Drosophila melanogaster: one gene and its partners. Changing the gene in region 1 together with any one later gene gives a genetic interaction. Each region holds a gene or a part of one and is shown on either strand. Other genes may lie near its edges.

Region 1 (7,609 bases):
ATCATACCCGTTATTCGTAGAGTAAAAGGGTATACTAGATGTGTTTCCGACCATGTAAAGTATATATATTCTTGATCAGGATCAATAGTCGAGTCGATCTGGCCCTGTCCGTATGAATGTCTCGATCTCAGGAACTATAAAAGCTAGAAGGTTGAGATTAAGCATATAAATTCTAGAGACATAGATGCAGCGCTTGGTTGTTTACCCATGTTGCCACGCCCACTTACCGCCCAAAACTTCCACGCCCACAATTTTAAATTTTTTCTCATTTTATTTCCCAATATCTCTTGGATATCCCAGAAAAATGATGAAATTTCGCGTTCGTATTTCCACTAGCTGAGTAACGGGTATCTGATAGTCGGGAAATTCGACTTTAGCATTCTCTCTTGTTTTTAACTTGTGGTTTCGTTATGCTATATATTCCCCCACTCAAACAACTTCCACTCAAATCAACTCCCAAATATCTTTTAGGAGCATTCTACAATCTGATTTTTGTAATCATCCAGCAAACGTTTCCAAAACTCAATTTTTTTTTAATACGTATTAAGCCAAAAGTCGTATACATAACTATTTAAAGCAATTCTGCAGCTGCAGCAAAGATAATCTATTTAAGAGTAAAGCATTAGTCAAAACTAAAGATTATTTTCGTTCAACGAACAGCGAATTATAGATTGCTTTGCCCAAAATGTGGATGCTGTGAGCTAAAAAAAACCTTTTTTTTTAATAGGCTAAGACATTTTTTTGAATAGGCTAAGACTTTTTTTGAGCATGAATTTTTTTGAGCACGTGAACCTAGGATTAAGAACAACAATTCAAGTAAGCCATATATACCCATATTATATATGCGAACATATAACTATTAAAATATTCAAATAAAAATGAGCATTGCTACTACAGAAAAATGCGCGATTTTCTTTGGGTTTCAAAACCGTTTTCGAACCGTAACACTCTTTGCCTCATGCAAGCTGCTAGTTCATGATTTCTAGAACATCGTTCCTGGGAGTGGAGTGAGTTCCATGAGTGCCTACAATGTGCTGGCCGCTTCCGCTCACTTAAGTCACTCAATCTCAATTCCGAGTTTAATCAGCAGCTCCGCGAGCAGAGTCGCCCTTAGATAAGCGGATCGCCGCCTGCGGCTCATCATTATCTTTTGATTAACGCGCCAGTCGACAGTGCGTGTTTGTTCCGAGTAGAGAACGGAGGCTGGCGCGTTTTCTTCCATTTTCCAACTGATAAGCAGAAGCTCCAGCTAATCCCCGAAAGATGAAGCCGTTGATAGTGGTCGTGCTCGTGGGCCTGATGGCAAGTGGCTGCCACATTGTTCACTCCCAGGAGCCTGGCGATGGTAAGACGAATTCCAGTCTGAGCTCTACCGGAACTAAGCCACTCATTAATGACCTTTGAGCAGCTGTGGAGCAGGAAGCCAGCGAGTCGGATGACGCACTTAAGATCAAAGAGAGTCAGGCCAGCATAGCCGCCCAGGTGGAGGCCATGCTCGTGCACTTTCAGCAGGAGGATCCGCAGGGTCTGCCCGGCGTGCCCGTGCCCGATCCGTTGGAGGTGCCCAATGTGAAGAAGAGCATGGGCATGGCCAATCTGGACATGAAGCAGGTCAAGGCGTATGGCTTGTCCAAGTTCCGCATTGATAAAATGAACCTAGACCTGAAGGAAATGAGAGTAAGTTTTCAAGTTGAATTCGAATTGGCTTGAAGTTTCCACTCCTCTGTCCTGCAGTTCAACGGTGGCCTCCAGCTGGACCAGATGCTGGTCAAGGGCCAGTACACCCTCAGTTCATTCTTTTCGAAAGCCAATGGACCCTTTACAGTAGTCCTGAAGAATGTCTATGCCGAGGCAACCGCCTTCTTGGCCGTCGAACGAGACGGTCAGCTGGCCACGGACCGCATCAAGATCGACATCACATTCTCGGACATGACAATGGACTTCCAGAACCTCGGCCTGGTGGGCAGTGTCTTTCAGAGCGTGGTGAACGGTGCGCCCAACTTGGTCTTCGACGCCATGAAGCCATTTATGCTCCAGGAGGCGGACAAAAAGCTGCGCAGCGAGATCAACGTAATGATCCAGAAAACCTTGGGCGAACGCCGACTGCCCAATTCCATAACGCCGCTGGACAGCGCCATTGCCATGGCACGCAAGATGGTTCGGCAGAAGGGCTTCGATCCGTACCACCTGCCTGATGTCAATCGCACCATGGGCGTGTTCAGTGTCCAGTTAGCACACACCTGGATCAATGGAATCTCTAGCTTCTACCGCGTGGGCAACATAACCGCTGGCATGGCCAACAAAACGGTGTCGGTCGTTCTGCAAATAGGCACCCAGCAGGTGACGGGAGCCGGCCAGTGGGAGGTGGGTGTGGGCATGATGACACGCGTCGGTCACGTACAATTTACGGTTCAGCACATACGCGCCACCGTTGGCCTGAGCCAATCCCTGGACACACGCAAGCGGGCGCAGATCACCGATCTGCAGTTTGACATGGGCAACATACAGGTGCGATGTGACGGAGCGGGAACGCTGGACTACGTCATGGAGTTTGCGGTGAACGTCATTCCCAACCTGCTGCGCTACCAGATCATGGACGCCATCGAGAACCCCATCAAGCAGCGTGTGCAGGAGAAGTTCAACACCATCGATGTGGAGCAGGTCATCAAGACCATGGCTCAGAACAACTTCAACTTTGACCCAAAGCTGTTGGGCTTGTGAGTCGTGGTAGTAAGTAAGAGAGTTATGCAATCGAATAAAGATTTATCCCTAGAACATGGGTAATCACAAGCTACTTAAAGTATACGCTATCTACATGGGCTGCGCCCTGCAGTGGAATGTGCCTAGGGGTCCTTGACACTGAAGCAGAGCAGCTGCAGACGCATGTTCCGCTTGACCCGCTCCAGAATCTCGTCCGCCTTACGCTTCTGCTCGCCACTCAGGGGCGGATTGATGGCCTCCAGCGCTTCCATGAAGTAGTTCCTTTTGCAGATTAGAAGAATTATTGAAATTCATAGGTATTTCATTTAGATCACTCACTTGGCAGTCTCATTGACGTAACCTTCCAGGGAGTCCCTCAATAGACGGATATCCACGTGGGCCTGAATCGCTCCCGTGAAGCTAAAGCGCTGGACACAGCTCATCAGACGGGCCAGCTCTTCGGATATGGTTTGCACAATGGACTCCAGGATGGGTCGCAGCAGTGCCGGTGAAATGCTGTAGATCTCGGAGTAGACACCAACCAAATTATCGCAGCACTCGTGAGCGTAAGGACGCAGCTGGCCGATCTCCATCTCGTGATCCCACTGGAAACGACCCAGATACATGGAGGGCTCGATGGTGCCGACCAGCGGATCGCCCTTATGCTCGACGTACTCCTCCAGAAGATTGGTAAAGAGCTGGTTAACCGTGTAGCGAGCAGTTTCGATTGCCAGCGTGGGCAGCGGGTAACCGTAGCGAACGAAGATGTCACCAAGGCGCGGGAAGAAGATCTTGTTGCAGTACGCATAGTTGGCCAGGCAACAGAGCATGCGCTGCTCCCAGGTCACAGCCGCTGCTCCGCCGCTTCCAGCCACCGAATCTGGCTGCTGGGCATTGGGGAATCCAAGTAGCTGCGACACATTGTGGGTGGGCGTCTCCTCGTCGTGGGAGTGGAAGGCCAGCTCCTCGATCACCGCGCTAAACGCGGATAGGAATTCTTGTAGTCGCTGTGTCACCTCTCTCTGTCCATCCGACTGCGGCTCGAGGAGATTGCCCTCCCGGGTCTCCCTTTGCATGCACACAGATTGCACCTCGTCCAGCGTTTCGATGAGCAATGTTTCCAAGGCGGCGGGTAACAATGTGGCACCTGGATATTCCTCCACGCCCAGTTCCCAGGTCTCCTGGCTGCCCAGCTTTTTGCACCGATCCGTGGCCCGTTTGAAGATAATTGAGAAGCAGAAAAGTCGCACCTCATCGATCAGTTTCTGTATGATGTCCAGCGCTTCCGAGGGCAGATCCAGGCTGATGAGCGTGGCATAGGCTATCCTCGTGAAACGCAGGCACTGCGGAATCCAGGGTAGAAACTGATGTGTTGCCGATGCGGAGCCGATGGGCCAAGCCAAGCCGCTGGACTGACGCAGGGCGCGCTGATCCGTGGCAATGAGAATGGCCAACCTCAAGTAGACACAGAACTTCTCGATGGCGTTCAAAACCATTCGCTTGAAATCCCCTGGCTTGGGATCATGAGGTCCGCGTAGCTCGCCGGTGAAGTATAGCTGGCCCAGACGCCACAAGTCCGGCAGCTGGGAGGCGGCAATGTCGCACAGTTCTTCGCAGAAGTTAACCCGATTGGGCGCCTGGCTGGAATCCCTGTTCTTTGCCTTTTCCTGGGCACCCGAATCCTTGCTGGTGTGCTGATCAAATGTCTGGCGAAATGTCCACTCCAGATATTTGGCTCTGGCCTCGATGGCATCCCAGGCGGGATCGATGTTGCGCAGTTTATCGCCAATGGGAGTTCCGCTCTGCTGCAGTTCCAGACTGATCAGCGCCTTGATGAGCTTCTTCTGTTGCTCCACGCTCTGTGGCATCTTGACCACCTTCTCGTGCAGTTGTTTCCTTATTGACAGAATCCTGTGGTCGACCTCCTCGAGCACCTTGCGGAAAATGGGAATCTCCGTCTTGCCAAAGAGGTTCTTGGCGCGCGAGTAGTCGTTAACCACAATGTCATATTCACCCGCCTTGGCACGTCTGTCCACCGAATTGGGCAGACAGAAGAGGAACTTGTGCCGCGACAGGGCGAACAGAACGGACCGCGTGGAATCCGCCTTCTCTTTGCGCACCAGCACATCCGTGAATATCTTTTGCGATTCGCTAATGGAGTCTATAAGTCGAACAATTTTAGAATTAAATATCTTAATCTATAAACCCCACTCACTCTCTATGGATGTTTCCAAGATATTTAGGGTCTCATTGCCGTGTAGCTTGACATCCTCCTGCAGCTTGTCTCGGATGTTCATCAGCGTATCGAGCTGGTCAATCACCGAGCCTGCATTGGACTTGAGGAAGGACAACTGACCTTCCTTCTGGCTCTCCACTTTCCGCTTCAAGTAGGACAGGCCCGCCTTGAGATCCTCGAAGGAGGTGGCCAGGTGATTTTCAAGCAGGAACCAGGCCGGGGAGAAGTGCTCCTGCGACAGATCCCCGCAGGCTTCGGGAAAGAGATCGCGGAGGTCCTCGGGGATCTTCTGCTCGTTACCCTCGATGGACAGCCCAAGTGGATCCTCCTGCGTCAGTCCGGATTGGGCTAGGGTGCGCCGACCCCAGGCAAAATTCTGCGAGGGCGACTCCTCGATCCACACGGCGGACTCCTTGAGCGGGCCAATGGTCTCGTGGTATGCACGAAACTGAACCGTGGACGTGCCCACTCCGCCGCTTAAAGTGGTCACTATGATATCGCCTTTTCCCTTCGCCGGACCAGTGCGTGCGATGATTTTATTGGGTGATTTCCACTCCGCCGACAGCAGACAATCTGAACCGCAGATTTTTAGACCTTACATTTTTTTTTTTTGGAAGGGAAAGTCATCAGAAAACAGAAGCTATTTGGGACAGGCTACGCCTACCAATTAGATCTTGCACTCGGGTGCCCAGGAACTCGCCGCGAATGATAACGCGGGTGCCAGGAGGACCCTCCTTCGGAGATAGCCCCGTAACCACTGGCTGCGGCGCCATCGTATGCTATATGATGCGGAAAAACTGATCAAAATGCAATAAAAACAATAGAGAACAGAACTTTATTGATGCTGCCAGTGATGGAAAACGTCCCGTCAGTGGTGAAATCTTGGCTAAGTAATCGCCAAGCTAAACAGACAGATATTTAATATAAAACTTATGTAAGAAACGGACGAGCATAAAAAGAGCTTAAAATGTATTAAATCTAAAATTAAAGATTACTTAACATATGATACCATTCAAATAAAGGCAACTTATATCAATCAAGAGTTTTAGTTCTAGCTAAGTCTCCTTGCTGAGCAGCACTGGAAGGCGCAGACCGGTCATCTCTGAACAGCTGATTGATTGTTTCCAAATCCGCCGCAGAAAAATGGATGACGTCGAACGAATTCAGAGCGAGAATGAGAATTTGCGCAAGATTCGCAATCGCCTGATGCAATGGGAGTCCAAAACGGACCCGCTGGCGGCTCTGAGTATCCAGCAAGAGGAGCACCTGGACGTCCTGACCAATCTGTGGCGCGACAGCGGACCATCGGTGAGTCGACTCCTCCTCGAATGGCAATCGTATAATTGCAACCCGACTCTTTGTAGGCACCGGCACCGACTACGCCCACCCAGGTGGGTCCTACCGATTCATCGGCAGCTGCAACTTCGCAAAGCGGCGATGACATCAGACTACCTGCGGAGGGACTCCAGAACACCAATGAGTTTCTGCTTTGGTTCGCGGACGTCAGCGCCGAGATCGAGCAACGTGGCGATGCCGACTACCACAAATACCTGCAGCAGCTGGAGCAGCGCAAAGCGGAGTGCTCCCACATGCTGGACCAGATCGCTGGGGCCATGGAGCGCCTGGGTGCCCTCTGCGACGAGTACGACTTTGTGTCGCAAAAGACCAGCGCTCTGAACACGGCCAGCGAGCAGTTGATCGAGGAGCAGGAGCGACTGCAGGAGCTGAGTCACGAGATTCAACGCCGTCTGCACTACTTCAGCCAGGTGGAGTTGCTCAACCAACGACTTCAGAGCCCCACGCTTTCGGTGGCTAGCGAAGCGTTCCGGGAGTGCCTCAACAAGATCGACGAATGCCTAAACTACATCGAGGAGAATGTGAGCTTGTCTGTTACACTTCGGTCATGTATATACTAATATCCTTCATTGTCACAGCCCAAATTCAAGGATGCGGCCGCCTACAATGTGAAGTACAGGCAGTGCCTGGCCAAAGCCTCGGGTCTGGTGCGTAACTATGTGACGAGTGTGATAAACCAGGCAACCGAGGCCACGCTCCATCCCAAGAACAATATGCCGGATGCCTCCGCTGCTCTCAAGGCACCAGATGCCGCATTCGCTCTGTACTACGGCAAATATCAAACGGCCGCGGCAAAAGTGAAGCGGGTCGCCCAGTTGATTGAGTCCCGGTCGGAACACAGCCTCGACTACGCCCAACTAATGGCGGATCTTCAACAGCACTACTTGGCGCAAAGAGCCAGCGTTATGTCGCCAGCAGTGAATCTGTCCATACAAAACGTTAAGGTGGCCCACAAAGGGGATCACTGCTCTCTCACCCGAAGCGCCTGCGCCTTTTTGGTGCATGTTTGCCAGGACGAACAGCGTTTGTTCTACCAGTTCTTCAGCACAGGAGCGCCACACCTGACGTAATACTCGTACATCTAGTTGGAAAATAGGATTGATCTCATTTTTCCCACAGGGTTTATCTGGAGGGTCTGTGCACCATTCTCTATGACACCATGCGACCCTTTATTATACATATTAATCACTTGGAAACGCTGGCGGAGATCTGCTCCATTCTACGAATTGAAATGCTGGAGGAGCATGTCCAGCAGAATCGTAAGTTTCCAGAATCCTTTTGTAATACGAGAACATTTAATTGAGTTTGTATCAATTA
Region 2 (6,829 bases), on another chromosome or scaffold:
CGTCGAGGTCACGTGTTCGCTGCTGGAGAACGCCATGAAGGCGTCGGGAAAGTCGCGGTTCCTCATCGACGGCTTCCCACGCAATCAGGATAATCTGGACGGTTGGAACCGCCAGATGTCCGAGAAGGTGGACTTCCAGTTTGTCCTCTTCTTCGACTGCGGCGAGGATGTGTGCGTCAAACGGTGTCTGGGCCGCGGCCAGAGCGGCTCTGGCCGGACGGACGACAACCTGGACAGCCTGAAGAAGCGCATCTCGACATACAACAACGACTCGCTGCCCATCATCAAGTTCTTCGAGGGCGCCGGCCAGGTGAAACGGATCGATGCCAGTCCGGATGCGGAAGAGGTGTTCGGGGAGGTGGAAAAGATATTTGTGGCCAGCGGCTTCTAGATTTCCTGTTCATATTCCGGTTATGTGTGTAGTGCTATCCTTACCTTTCATTTGTACCCTCTAAAAAAATACATATATACGCTTGTTAATAGTAATGCATAAGGTACTTTTTCTTCACCCCGATAAGATACAAGATACACATGAAGTTTAGTATACCCAATCAAGGAAAGCGGAGGTACACACACACTTTTTAATATCGAGTAAAAAATGGAGCTAGGCAAAAGTTATTCTGGAATTATATGTTATCTAAAGCAAATGGATTGAGAACTATTTTAAATGTAGGAACGTTAAAGAGCAATAAACAATAAATTAAATCCCCTGTTCATATTATGACATTTAAAACAAGTTTTCTTATTTATACAAGTGCTATGTGATTTTCATTTTTCAAGTGTTTTACATATTTCTATAGTACCCAATAGTACAAATTTAGGAAAGTACTTCTTTTTATTCAGATAAACACAATTTTGCATTTATAGTTAAAGCTGAATATATGTATATACATATATATATAATTTCATGATTTGGAAATTCCTTTTTCTTATTTTATTGAAGACAGGCATGAAACGTACATATCTTTTAAAATACCGAATATTGTATAGCTCTAAAGTAACAAGTATTGCGAATTTGTTTGTAGCTAGGCTGTGCGATTGCAGCACTACCCAGTTCTTTCCATTATAGCTTGTAAATGCTAATTACTCATCGATTTTTCAAACACGCAGGGAACGAAAATCACAAGCATTCTCTTTAATATAACATTCGCTTCTGGGAGATACAAACGGGTGGTGGCTCTTACATAAAGTGGACAGGCAGTGGTTCTTAGTAGCGGCTCAATCCTTGCGCAGCTTATCCAGGCGCGCCTGAAGATCCGCATCGGCATCGGACATGGGCGATGAGGCACCACTGCCACCGGGAGCTCCCGGACCACCAGCGCCGCCACCACTAGCTCCACCTCCGCCGGCGGCTCCACCGCCGCCAACGCCACCAGCGGCCACAGCCTGTGCTTTCTGAGCGCCAGCGCCGCCGGCTATGGAAAGGGAACCGGAGGCGGAAGGAAGGTCTCCCAGCTGTTCGCCCAATTGCAGACCCAGTTCGTCCAGCACCTGGGACACAACAGCATCCGTCTCCTCCTCGTCGCCCTCGTCCTCCATGGCGTCATCGATGGCATCGTTGATCATCTCCTCCTTCATGTCCATCATTTCCGACTGTTTCTCGAAGTCCTGCAGGATCTTCTGGATTTGCGGGAGATTCAGCTGGCGGTTCATGTTCTGCATGGCCTTCGTGACACCTGGAAGATAAGCATAATTGCTTGATAAGCGGGTGAATCAGCCAAATAGCCAATGTTTACCTTTCATGGCCTGTGCCATTGTGTTCTGCGACTTGAGCGTCTGAATTTTGAGGGACACCGCCTGGATGTTTGCCTTCATCAGCATGAACTTCTTGGCATACCGCCGCGTGCGCACCAGATCCTTGGCCATGATCTTCACGGCATCCATTTGACCCTCCTTGGCCATCTTCTTGATATCCGCGATAATCTTCTTCTCCTGCTGCTCCATTTTCATCCGCTCGCGGTCCAGATCTCGCATCGCTTTGTTGAGCGCCCGCTGATTCTTACGCAGCATCTCATCGGGGCTGATCTTCTTGCCGAATAGCCAGTCCATGTTTAAGGATATCTTAACTGCAAGATTTAATTACGAAGAATGACGGAGTTTCCTAAAGATTACTCATCAACCAAAACAATAAGCGAAGGGTGTGCGCGATTCTAAGGTGGCCAAGACGTGTTGGCGCTTACATGCGAATAGTGCTAGTGGGAAGAAGAAGCTTTGCCGGTGCACTCTGAAAGAACTGTTCACACTTCAACTTAGTGAATTAGCAACAGGTGGAAAATAATTTTAATTTATTACAATACAACACACACACATTGTAATGAATAGTATACATATAGACATATGTCTTCTTGATTTTTAACGTAGATCTTTGACGTAGTCGTTTATATTTAAAAGTTCAGTTCGAATAAAAAGTATTCAGGGCTTCAACGCCTAATCATACCTAAGATGAAAATCCGAAATGTAAATGCGAATAAATTTGTTGATCTCTAAAAGGTCTTTGACGTAGCCGTTCAGTTCGAATAAAACTTTTCATAGGTTTTAAATCTTAATTAATCTCCTATTACTTAAAACTAAATAAAAATGTTCTAGATTTATAGATTTATCTAATACCAGGGAAAACTGCAGTGAAAACATGGCATTTTCTATAGCATCAGCAACCTTACAATCGACACCTCATGATGACGCTCGTTCGTTGTGAATGGCTCTGCGTCAGCTGCAGTTTACATTCCAATCAGAATCATGAAGGAGTTCGACGATTTTAATTTTAGCGTTGAGAAATGTAAGTATTCCTATGTCTATTTAGCATTAATCAGTCTACTAATAAGTACAACGTTCCCAGATACCAAGGACCTGACACGAGAATGTGTGGGTGGCAGCGATTTGCAGCAGCGAAAAAAGGAAATCGAGGCCTACAACGAAACGACGGCAGCAACGCTCAAGCAAACATGCAAAAAGAACTATATGGAGTTTATACAGACGGCCAAGGAGATATCACGTAGTTTACGCCCCCCAATATCAATATACATTTATGTTAATATTTTCGCATCGCAGATCTCGAGTCGGAAATGTATCAACTGTCGCACATTCTGATTGAGCAGCGCAATATTCTGGCCACCATGACGGATGGCAAGACTTCCAGTCACCTGAAGGCAGAGAGTTTGGAGGCGGAGAGCACTACGGCGACGGAGGATCTGGAGAATAGCCATGCCACGCGGGCGGTCAAGGAAATGGTCCAGGGCTTCAATGGCAATCTGGAAGGCAAGACCTTCCTCAACGAGGGAGCTCTAATCGAGTTGGACAGTAATGATTATCGACCCATTCAAAGGGTCTTCTTTTTCCTCTTCAACGATGTACTGATTGTCTGCAAAGTGAAGCATGATAAGTAGGTTTTCCTATACTAAAGCATATAGCAAAAACTAATAGTAATATTTTTCAGGCGCTTGGATTTCCTCACCGAGTACGACCCCAAGAAAATAGCCGTGATTAACATTAAGGACTTGGATGGCGTTAAGAATGCCATTAATATCATTACTCCAGATGGTTCCAAGATCTATCAAAGCATCACGGCTGCTGGGAAGACGGAGTGGATAGAGAAGCTCGAAGAGGCCTTCCGCTTTGACCAGCAAAAGAAACCAAAAAAGGGCCAGGCGCCACAGCCTCCAACTCGGGCCAAACAGCAGTCAAAAGCTTCGACTCCGGAGAAGGAAACCACACCCCAGAGTCCCGGACAGCCCAAATCCCTGGAGGATGAGACGCCCGAGTGGCTAAGCACGGCCAGTGAAGAGATTCAGACCCTGGTGGCCCAACGGCATTTCGAGGATGCCCAGGAGCTGATAAAGCGAACCCAGGACTTCTTGCGAAACGAGAACCGAAAGAAGTTGCCACTAGCGGACGCCATTGAAACCAAGGTGAAGCAGCAGGAGCTGAAGCTGATCAATGTGCTGCTCAAGGAGTTGTCCAACAGTCACAATCGCAATCTGCAGATCGCTCTGAGAGCAGCCAAGCGGCCTCTGAAGATTCTCGTAGAGATGGGTCGCTATCGGCAGGCGAGTGCCACTCTGCTGAAGGTCTGCGCCGTCAGTTTGCGGGTGGCGCAACGGGAGGCGCGCAGGAATAATGCGGATATATCGGAACTCTTCTTTTGTGACCTGACGCAGGTGGCCTGTGATTTTCTCACCGCCTTTGAGAAGCAACCGGCGTGCGTTAGCGGTAAGCTTCATTCCTATTTCTGTCTACATTTAAGTATTACTACTATCTAATTCTTGCAGCGCTCGTGGTTTGGTGCAATGCGGAGCTGCAATATTTTGCCAGCCAACTGATAAAGCATTACCTGACCAAGGGAACCTCCCTGGAGTCAGTGGCCAAATGTGTGGAGCGAGTGCGCAAGCCCTCGACAAAGCTCACAGAGATCGGGCTGGACATTAGTTATCATTTGGAAGGTCTGTTGCGCACTACACTCGAGTCGCTCATAGAGGAATCCAAGGAGCGACTGCTGGACTCCGTGGGTCGCACCGAGGAGAGCTGGCAGCCGTACAATTTGCAGACCAAGTCGAACCTGAAGCGTCTGCTCCTGGAGCTCGATGTCTTGGGTATCGATGTGCGAGCCCAGGCGACGGGCGACACATGGATTAATCTCACCCAGTCGACAGTGGTTTTCATCAGACACTTCCTGCAGCTCACCGAGTACTGCGGCTGTCTGGCCAAGTGCGAAACCCTGCTGCAGAGCCTGGAACTGCTTCTTAAGGAGCTGTTCATTGCCCAGCATTCGTTGAAACCGCCCAGCGACATGGCCGTGGATGTAAGTTAGAAAGCAGCTTAAATAAAACCGCTCTCTTCAAGAATGCCATTTTCAGCCCAACTTTGTAATGAAGAACAAGATTTTTCTGGTGGACAACCTGCTGCCCATCGCCATCGACAAGTTTCGACAGATTTCTGGACGCCAGTGCGAGGGATTGCGCGAGTTGCACACGAAAATGTCCCGCCAGCAAGGTGCTCCAGTGCCGCGCCAGCGCAGCGTCTACACCACAGATGTGTTTTAGATGCACGCCGTGGGATTTACTTTCGATTACATATAATTTTTTATTTTTTCGTTTTGCTTCAATTATTTATAATATAATTATATACATATATAACCACAATAATAATAATATTTGTAAAATTAAAAATCGAAGCGTGTGCTGCACTCTATCTCTTGCTTATTACAATTTCGCCGCTCGCATTATATATATAATTGTAAATATATATAAATCGATTCGTTTTCTGTTTTTCATATATATACTCTAAACACTAAACAATTTAGCTGTGTTCTACTTTTCGGTTTCGGTTGTTGATGCGGCTCTCTCTGTGTTGGGTTTAGCTGCTCAAAATATAGGATTTTACACTTGGTTCTGAAGAGTTGAGTTTGATTCACACAATTAATTCCTCGATTTTCTCATTACACATTTTCTCAAATTACATACAAGCAAAGCGGACTGCTCTGAGCTTCTAACTACTGACCCCCAATGCGAGTGAGTGTTTCGAAAGTGGTTTCCGTGTTTAATTTATAATGTAAAACTCTTAACTAAAATGCTTACTAAGTATATTCATTTATAATTATATATATATATATATATATATACCTTTTATGCAAATGTGTTTTGTGTTTTTCGTATGTTGTGTTTGTGTGTGTGTGGTGTGTGTTTGGAGGGACGTTGGGAGGTAAGGAAACTGACAACTTAAAATTACATTTGTTGTTGCATTCGCTGTCTGACTTTTCAGCTAAATTACAAAAACCGCTCACATAAAACAAACTAAAAGCACTCGCATCGTATTTGTATTTAACTCCTTTTGTTCAGCTGGTAATCATAATCTCAACGCTCCTGCAATTGCAATGACTGACTAATTCCACTTATCCTCCTATTTGTTTTTATGTTAAGATGAACGTAGGTAGGTATCGCCGACTTTTTATGTTTCTGTTTCCGGTTTCATTTTGTTAATTTTACAACATACTCGTTTCTGTTGCTCGCATGCATTATCATTTTATTTCGCTCTGGTTCTCATTTTACTTGAATTCTTCTTTACTTGCAATTTGTGTGTTCAACTTGTTGGTTTGTTTTTATTTATTGGACTTAGCTTAGGCTTAGTAGCTACAAGTACGCTTAAAATTTTAGTTTTCCTTTTTCTTGTATATATATTATAGAATTTTCATTTTTGCTTCGCTTTTTGATGCGTTGCTACTGCCGCCTTTCTGCTTTTCTTTTTTTGTTTTACTGCCGATGCTGCTGCTGTTGTTTTTGTTGTTGTTATTTGCATGATTTCGAACATGTTGTAATAAAAACTATACGAGCTTATTACAAAATGAAAAAACTGCATGGTTTTGTGGATTTAATAAATAACTTCGTAGACAGTAGCCTTCTTATCGCCCGAACCCGTCACAATGTATTTGTCGTCAGTTGATATGTCGCAGCTAAGTACGGATGATGTTTCCTTCGACTGAAAAACGTCCAGTATTTTAATTGAGGATTTCCTTTAATATGATAAGGATGTGTGCTTACCTGGAATATGCTGGCACCGTAAGGTGTTCGCCATGCGTTAAGCAGGTTGTCTTTGCCGGTGGAAACGAACCATTTGCCGCAGGCGGCAAAGCGCAGCGACAGAACGCAGCTCTCGTGCAGATGCAGTTGATACTTGTCCGGTTTCGATGCGTGCAGCACCTCCACATGCGAGTTCTCCATACCCACAGCCAGCCAGTCGCCTAATGGATAATACAAATTATGTTATTTCTAGATGATTATATCTCGTAAGGAAGTCGTCATCATACCTGTGGGACAGTAGCCGAGCGAGAATATTTGAG
Region 3 (6,140 bases), on another chromosome or scaffold:
ATCGCGCCGAGTTAAAGTTAAAACAAAGAAAAGAAATTCCAACCAATCAGTCGGTCAGTCAGTCAGTCAGTCAATCAGTCGGTCAGTCAATCAGTCATTTAGTCAGGCGAACGGCTCAAGTGCTGAAAAGTTTATTGCACTGCGAGCGTCGGACTTTTGCTATGGCAAATATTGTTTAATACCATTTTTAAAAATAAAATTTACTGATTAAATGTGCAGCGACGACAACGACAAAGTCGACGAACGTTGACACAATGGCGGTCCTACCCCAAGACGAAATTATTTGAGCACTCTTGTTTTAATGGGACAATAAACGGACTGTAGCTATAGAGCTTCTATAGCAATAAGGCGGGAACAGAGTTCAGAGCCGAGACTATATTCCGGCGCCTATGACCATCGGAATCGGAATATTGAACGTCAGCATCACCTCTATCATTAGCACGAGCAGGAGTGTGGTTTGAACGGTTTCCCTTATCAGCATCATTTGATTTTCCCGGTGATCGCCCTTGTTCCATACCAGATACTCATTATCCAACGCGTCCTGCAGCGAACAGTCCATGTATCCGTATGGATACATCATTTGCACGGTGATACGCCATATTAGAATAAAGAATATACTGGGACTGGGAATGAGGAAGTTTCTTACAGGCCAACGACTCTGATCCTGCATACTTCTTAACTTACGCCATGCTCAAGGGCAATCCGCTCATCCAGCCTGTCTTTGGTAATTTAAAAGTACTAAAATAGTGGGGAAACACTTATTCCAATGCCTACTTATCTACATAAGTTGGTAATATATGCAATATAATACAAATGTTAAATTACTCATCATACAACGTATTTTGTACATATATACAAAGTAGATAAAAGTCAAGTAAAATGTGTGGCAATACATTTTACATGAAGGCAACCAAGTTGACATGTAAATTGGTTTGTGTCCAAGCTGTGTTCAATTCAGTAGATTTAATAGTGAAGCCATTTTAAAAGGTACATATGTATGTGTCTTCAATCCAACGTTACCTTCAAATGGAGCAGCGTTGACCATGGCCCACAGAGAACATCATCCACAGTAGGGTTCATCGTGATACCTTCCAGGGCCTGAAAAGCATCCACATAGGACAGGTCTTGGAGCTGCCTGCCAAGTTGACCGTGCTTGCACCAACCACTGACCCATAGCCGCCCGCATCGGCGGATCAGCAGAGTGTGACGAGATCCAGCAAACACCCTCAGCGGTGCGCAATCATCGTTGCTCTCCCCGCTTTGGGAGCAGGCACATTCGGGCAGATCTTGCAACTGGGGCAGCGGAAATACAGTGGGCTCTTTGAGGACGCCACCGGGTTTCATCACACGCAATCCCAGCTGACCGCTGCAGTTGAGGCCCCAGGTGTAGAGGTCTCCAAAGGCGGATATGGCCGCACTGTGCCAACCACCGGCAGCAATTTGAGTTATCTGCAAGGCACTTGAATGTGTGACAGACAAGATAAGTGGACAAGTCAAATATATATATACCTTGATCCCCGCCAGCGCCTCCAGCAATTGAGGCGTCTCCTCCACTCTCAGTTCCGCCAGACCCAACTGTCCGCGTCTGTTAATTATGACATAGAAGTGAAAAAAATTGTTAGGAATTAGAATAAGAAACTCGCTAATATCTAAATATCTTAAAACCAGAATATGTAAATATTTATAGGCTGCATTTCTGCACAGCCAACGCATTCATTATGACCTTTACTTACAGTCCATTTCCCCAGGTGAACACGTCGCCATTGGCATTGAGGAGCACGGCATGTTCATGGCCGCATTGGAGCTGCTTCACCCGAAATTGGCGCTCGGAAAACTGATGCAGGCAGCTGGGAATGCTGTAGACACAGTTTTCCGAACTTATCGCTACGTTTATGTGCGATCCACATGCAATATGCTCTATGATCGGCGACGAAGGCGCCTTGGCAGCCCCAAAGATAGAGCGCTTTGTACCCGAATTGGATCTGGGAGCAGCTTCTAGTCTAACAGCCACCAGTTCCGCTTGCAGTTTTGGTTGCACCCTGTAAAGCTGACCGCTTTGGAGTAGCACCAGGCAGTGGGAATCGGCAGCGGCAAGGGCCCTTATGTTCCCCGTTGCTTCCAGGGTCACGCACTCATTTGGGCCATCATCCAAGAGCCCACGCAGGCACAACTTCCGGCCAAAAGCGAGGGCCGCATACCGCCAGCCGATCGAAATCGTGCACTGGTTCTGAGTCGAGACTGGCGCATTTAATTCTGTAATAAAGGCAGAACTGAATTAGTACACATACATACATACGGTGGAAGCCCCCTAAAAAGATTTTGTCTAAGTTATTAGTTTATCAATTTCATTGCTATGTATGTATTTGGCCAATCAAAAAATGCAGTTGGCACCAAGTACCGATGTGTAATTTACCCTATAACTGTCAATTAAAATGCAGTCTATATCCAATGCATGAATATGAATATGCAAAGAATTTTATGGATTAATGTCCTACGTATATATTCACCTGAAAATCACTATACTCTATTTTAAACATGAAATCTTAAAAATTCATCTGGCTTAAATCGGATTCAGTTTTATAAGATAGAATTAGAATTGTAAAAATGGTATAAGCTGCATGCATCCCAGCGAGTTCTATAGCGAGTGCCTACTGTAGCAACTAAGTGATCGGCGGCTTTTGTTGCCGGTTACAAACCGCTGAAGCCGGCTGCGCAGTCGACGTCGCCGCTTACACATTCATGCTGGCCAAATGCGTTGAAGCCCGTAAATAGCAGCGGCATCTTCTTCCCGTTCCCGTTCCAATTCGAATACCGCTCGACCCGCACCCCCACCACGTCCCCCGTCTAACAATCCTTTGCAGCGGTTGCTCGGCGACCGTTGGCGCTGTTGTTGTTGCTGTCGGAATTTGTTAGAGCGTTGAGCGAATTTTGTTTTCAGTAGTTGTGCAGCGACGAGCCAGTGATGTTGTGTTTGGTGGTTGAAGTTGATCCAATTCTCAAGTTATCCGACTTTTCCTGAGTTGACCACCAGAAGACACCGTCTTGGGCGGCCAGAGCAGATTGCCGAATCGGGGGGATACAGATACGGATATAGTGGTCGGAGATCGCACCGCCTCCTGGCTGTTATTCTCGCGTTAATTATACGATGGTAGGTTGTCTCCCGGTTCCGTAACAGCTAATTAAGTGCCTTGTTGTTCCGTAATTGCACGATTTGTTTTCATTTTGCGATCGTCGCCATGGAAACCCGCCTCAAAAACTATACAACACTTTTTTGTTAGAGCAGAACTTTTTTCAGCACTACTTCGAAAGTTTTAGGCGCGTAATTATCGGTATTCGAAAAAAAAAACCAAATTGGTGGTTCGGAAAACAAAGAAACATAATAAGCTTTTTGTAGCACACAATGGAAAAAAGAGTTCTTAATTTTTAAGTGAACATGGCAAATTTTTTTACCAATAAACATTTTTATTTCATTCAACCTTGTTGTCGTTTCTTTTGGCGAGCCCTTATCTCAATTCCAACAATATGTTTGTAAAGTTCACCTGTTGATAAGCTTTTTGCATTCTATCACTAAGAGAACGTTTTAATTGCAAGTTTTTTTTTTACAACTTTACATCGTCTTTATTGATAACAACATTGATAATAACAAAACATGTGTGTTTACAAGCATATGTTGCATTTATAAAAACACATATATTTATTAACAATTTTACAAGTTTATAAACTACCAAATGTAGATTGTTATTCAAAATTTCAAAGATAGACCAGAGGATACTACCGAGTCTAGACTAATACTGGTAATCAGGTGCTAGAATAACACACCTTCAAAAAACTAAGTAGAAAAAACAACAACTTAATAGCTTACAAATTTTAGGGTCTGCTATCGCTGTTGCGTAAACTGAGACCCAATCCGGAAAAGGAGGCTCGCATCCTGCTCCTAGGATTGGATAATGCTGGCAAGACCACGATACTGAAGCAGCTGGCATCGGAGGACATAACCACGGTGCGTATAAAGGCGGCGAACTTCTTCCGTTTTCCCCATAAAATACGGAGTGAAATCCCGCAGGTAACGCCCACGGCAGGATTTAACATCAAGTCCGTGGCAGCCGATGGTTTCAAACTGAATGTATGGGATATTGGTGGTCAATGGAAGATACGTCCATATTGGAAGAACTATTTTGCGAATACTGATGTGCTGGTAGGATTGTTATAGATCTAAACTCAATTCTGTTAGCTAATAGTTTCGATTATTTCAGATCTATGTAATTGACTGTACAGATCGGACTCGCCTGCCCGAGGCGGGTAGTGAACTATTCGAAATGCTCATGGACAATCGGTTGAAGCAAGTTCCCGTGCTGATTTTCGCTAACAAACAGGATATGCCGGATGCCATGAGTGCCGCCGAGGTGGCCGAGAAGATGAGCTTGGTGCAACTGCAGGGACGAACCTGGGAGATCAAGGCCTGTACCGCTGTGGATGGCACTGGACTAAAGGAGGGAATGGACTGGGTCTGCAAGAATATGAAGAAGTAATCTAAATTATAGTAATCGTCGCCTGTTAAGTTGTCCCTAAGAACTAAATATACGTACCTACATTTCAACTCACCAAAAGTATCACAATCTCTAATTGTTGGATGAATCTTCCTTTTTTCACGTGTATCTTTAAGTATAAACTGAATATATAGTTGAGAAGGCTATGCTAGTTAAATCATTCATTTTTACCTGACATCTAAACTGAAATCAAATTTCGATCCCCATGTGTTTTTACGGACCTGTTTCGTTCATAAAAAAGATCCTGCCCGCAGGCTCTCAGAAATCATGTCTGCTCATTTTAGGATTAGACAATGCGGGAAAATCCACGTTGACAGACCGCCTGGCGGAAATTTTCAATGGAGAAGTAAGGCCATATATGTGATGGTCCTATCTCCATTTGATAATGTTAGCATAAACTATTTGCAGTCCAAGGAATCTAACAATCAAGTTAGTGAATGGAGCTTCACCATAAATAATTTCAGAGTCCAGTTGTGGGATATTAACGGAGAACTGAAGAATCGCCAGATCTGGCCAAAGTATTATAAGAAAGTGAATGTTTTGGTGAGAGGAGAACTTATATAGAACTTATATAGACTCGACTACAATCCCTGAACCGTAGATTTTTGTACTGGATAGCACGGATGCACTGCGGCTAAGCGAGGCGCGATGTGTTTTATGCGATGTTTTGATGCACCAGGAACTGGATAATGCTCCGCTGCTGATCGTGTCCAACAAGAAGGACGCCTCGGGATCCCTGTCCATGTCCACGGTTATCGATTTGATGGGCCTATATCGCCTAACTGGTCGAGATTGGACTTTTGAGGAATGTTCCATGCGGACAGGGTCTGGTGTTCAGGTATATGTTGTGTTCTATATTCGAAATCTGATAATTTAACTTATACTATCTGGGTAGGAGATCGTAAATTGGATTAACGAAAAGATCAACAATAACAGGAAGTGATTTATCACATTTTTATATTTTCAAAAATTTGGCAACCTATTAACTAATATATTAAATATATATTTAATGTAATTTAGCAACAATAGTTTGTTACACTTGTATTATAGAAATTATTTGCCTCAAATAATGATTCATTTAGTTTGCTGATCGGCAAACACTCTTTTAATTAATACATTAATACAGCCATTTGCTAATCAATGATTTTTGACATTGACCTCTGTCAATAATTGAAAAACTCGTGGCTGAGTAGCAACATTGTGAGGACAAAGCCCTTTTGCATTATCAGTTATTAGTTGTTGTTGCTTTTGGGGCTATAAAAGGGTTAGTTATAGAATTGACTGGCACAGTTTAACAGCGATCGTTGAAATGAACTCAACTCTGGTGATTCTACTTCTTTCGGCTCTGGCTTTGGTGCAGGCCAGGAATATTCGTTGGTCTGAGGAGGACAACTCGTCCCAAGGTCCAAGTCTAAGCCACCCGCATCCGCACTCTGTCAACTGGCCCTGTGATGTGGGTCACTTCCCAGAGGCATTCATTCTAATGCACAAGGTGGATAAGCGACTGGAACGAATTGACAACGAGAGTACCAAGAAACGGATCGAGAACTACGCCGTCAATCAGTTGAGGCAGTGCATCTTGGATGGCCAGAT

The links.
Region 2: of Sec5 (region 1) and Exo84, changing one enhances a phenotype caused by changing the other (phenotypic enhancement), as found in Drosophila melanogaster (one study listed by BioGRID).
Region 3: of Sec5 (region 1) and dnd, changing one enhances a phenotype caused by changing the other (phenotypic enhancement), as found in Drosophila melanogaster (one study listed by BioGRID).

The regions. Positions count from the first base shown.
Region 1 is NT_033779.5:3,455,506-3,463,114, reverse strand, and holds Sec5 (secretory 5), read right to left. Parts: upstream 5,814-7,609; 5' UTR 5,710-5,813; coding exon 5,601-5,709; intron 5,531-5,600; coding exon 4,916-5,530; intron 4,862-4,915; coding exon 3,040-4,861; intron 2,983-3,039; coding exon 2,844-2,982; 3' UTR 2,748-2,843; downstream 1-2,747. Other genes in the region: CG3246 (uncharacterized protein), read left to right, coding at 1,264-1,345, 1,409-1,677, 1,735-2,721; Cog3 (component of oligomeric golgi complex 3), read left to right, coding at 6,080-6,244, 6,301-6,813, 6,871-7,358, 7,412-7,551. UniProt on the Drosophila melanogaster protein: Component of the exocyst complex involved in the docking of exocytic vesicles with fusion sites on the plasma membrane.
Region 2 is NT_033777.3:26,048,137-26,054,965, reverse strand, and holds Exo84 (exocyst 84), read left to right. Parts: upstream 1-2,708; 5' UTR 2,709-2,736; coding exon 2,737-2,776; intron 2,777-2,836; coding exon 2,837-2,995; intron 2,996-3,048; coding exon 3,049-3,379; intron 3,380-3,433; coding exon 3,434-4,206; intron 4,207-4,265; coding exon 4,266-4,795; intron 4,796-4,850; coding exon 4,851-5,036; 3' UTR 5,037-5,235; downstream 5,236-6,829. Other genes in the region: Cmpk (Cytidine/uridine monophosphate kinase 1), read left to right, coding at 1-391; Vps2 (vacuolar protein sorting 2), read right to left, coding at 1,219-1,676, 1,737-2,049; gro (groucho), read right to left, coding at 6,361-6,468, 6,531-6,730, 6,797-6,829.
Region 3 is NT_033777.3:21,884,148-21,890,287, reverse strand, and holds dnd (dead end), read left to right. Parts: upstream 1-2,932; 5' UTR 2,933-3,145; coding exon 3,146-3,148; exon of another isoform or gene 3,149-3,259; intron 3,260-3,871; coding exon 3,872-4,000; intron 4,001-4,063; coding exon 4,064-4,195; intron 4,196-4,253; coding exon 4,254-4,529; 3' UTR 4,530-4,612; downstream 4,613-6,140. Other genes in the region: CG43844 (uncharacterized protein), read right to left, coding at 374-670; CG6678 (uncharacterized protein), read right to left, coding at 1,021-1,449, 1,510-1,585, 1,734-2,253, 2,697-2,781; CG17819 (uncharacterized protein), read left to right, coding at 4,753-4,893, 4,956-5,090, 5,149-5,385, 5,443-5,490; fit (female-specific independent of transformer), read left to right, coding at 5,857-6,140.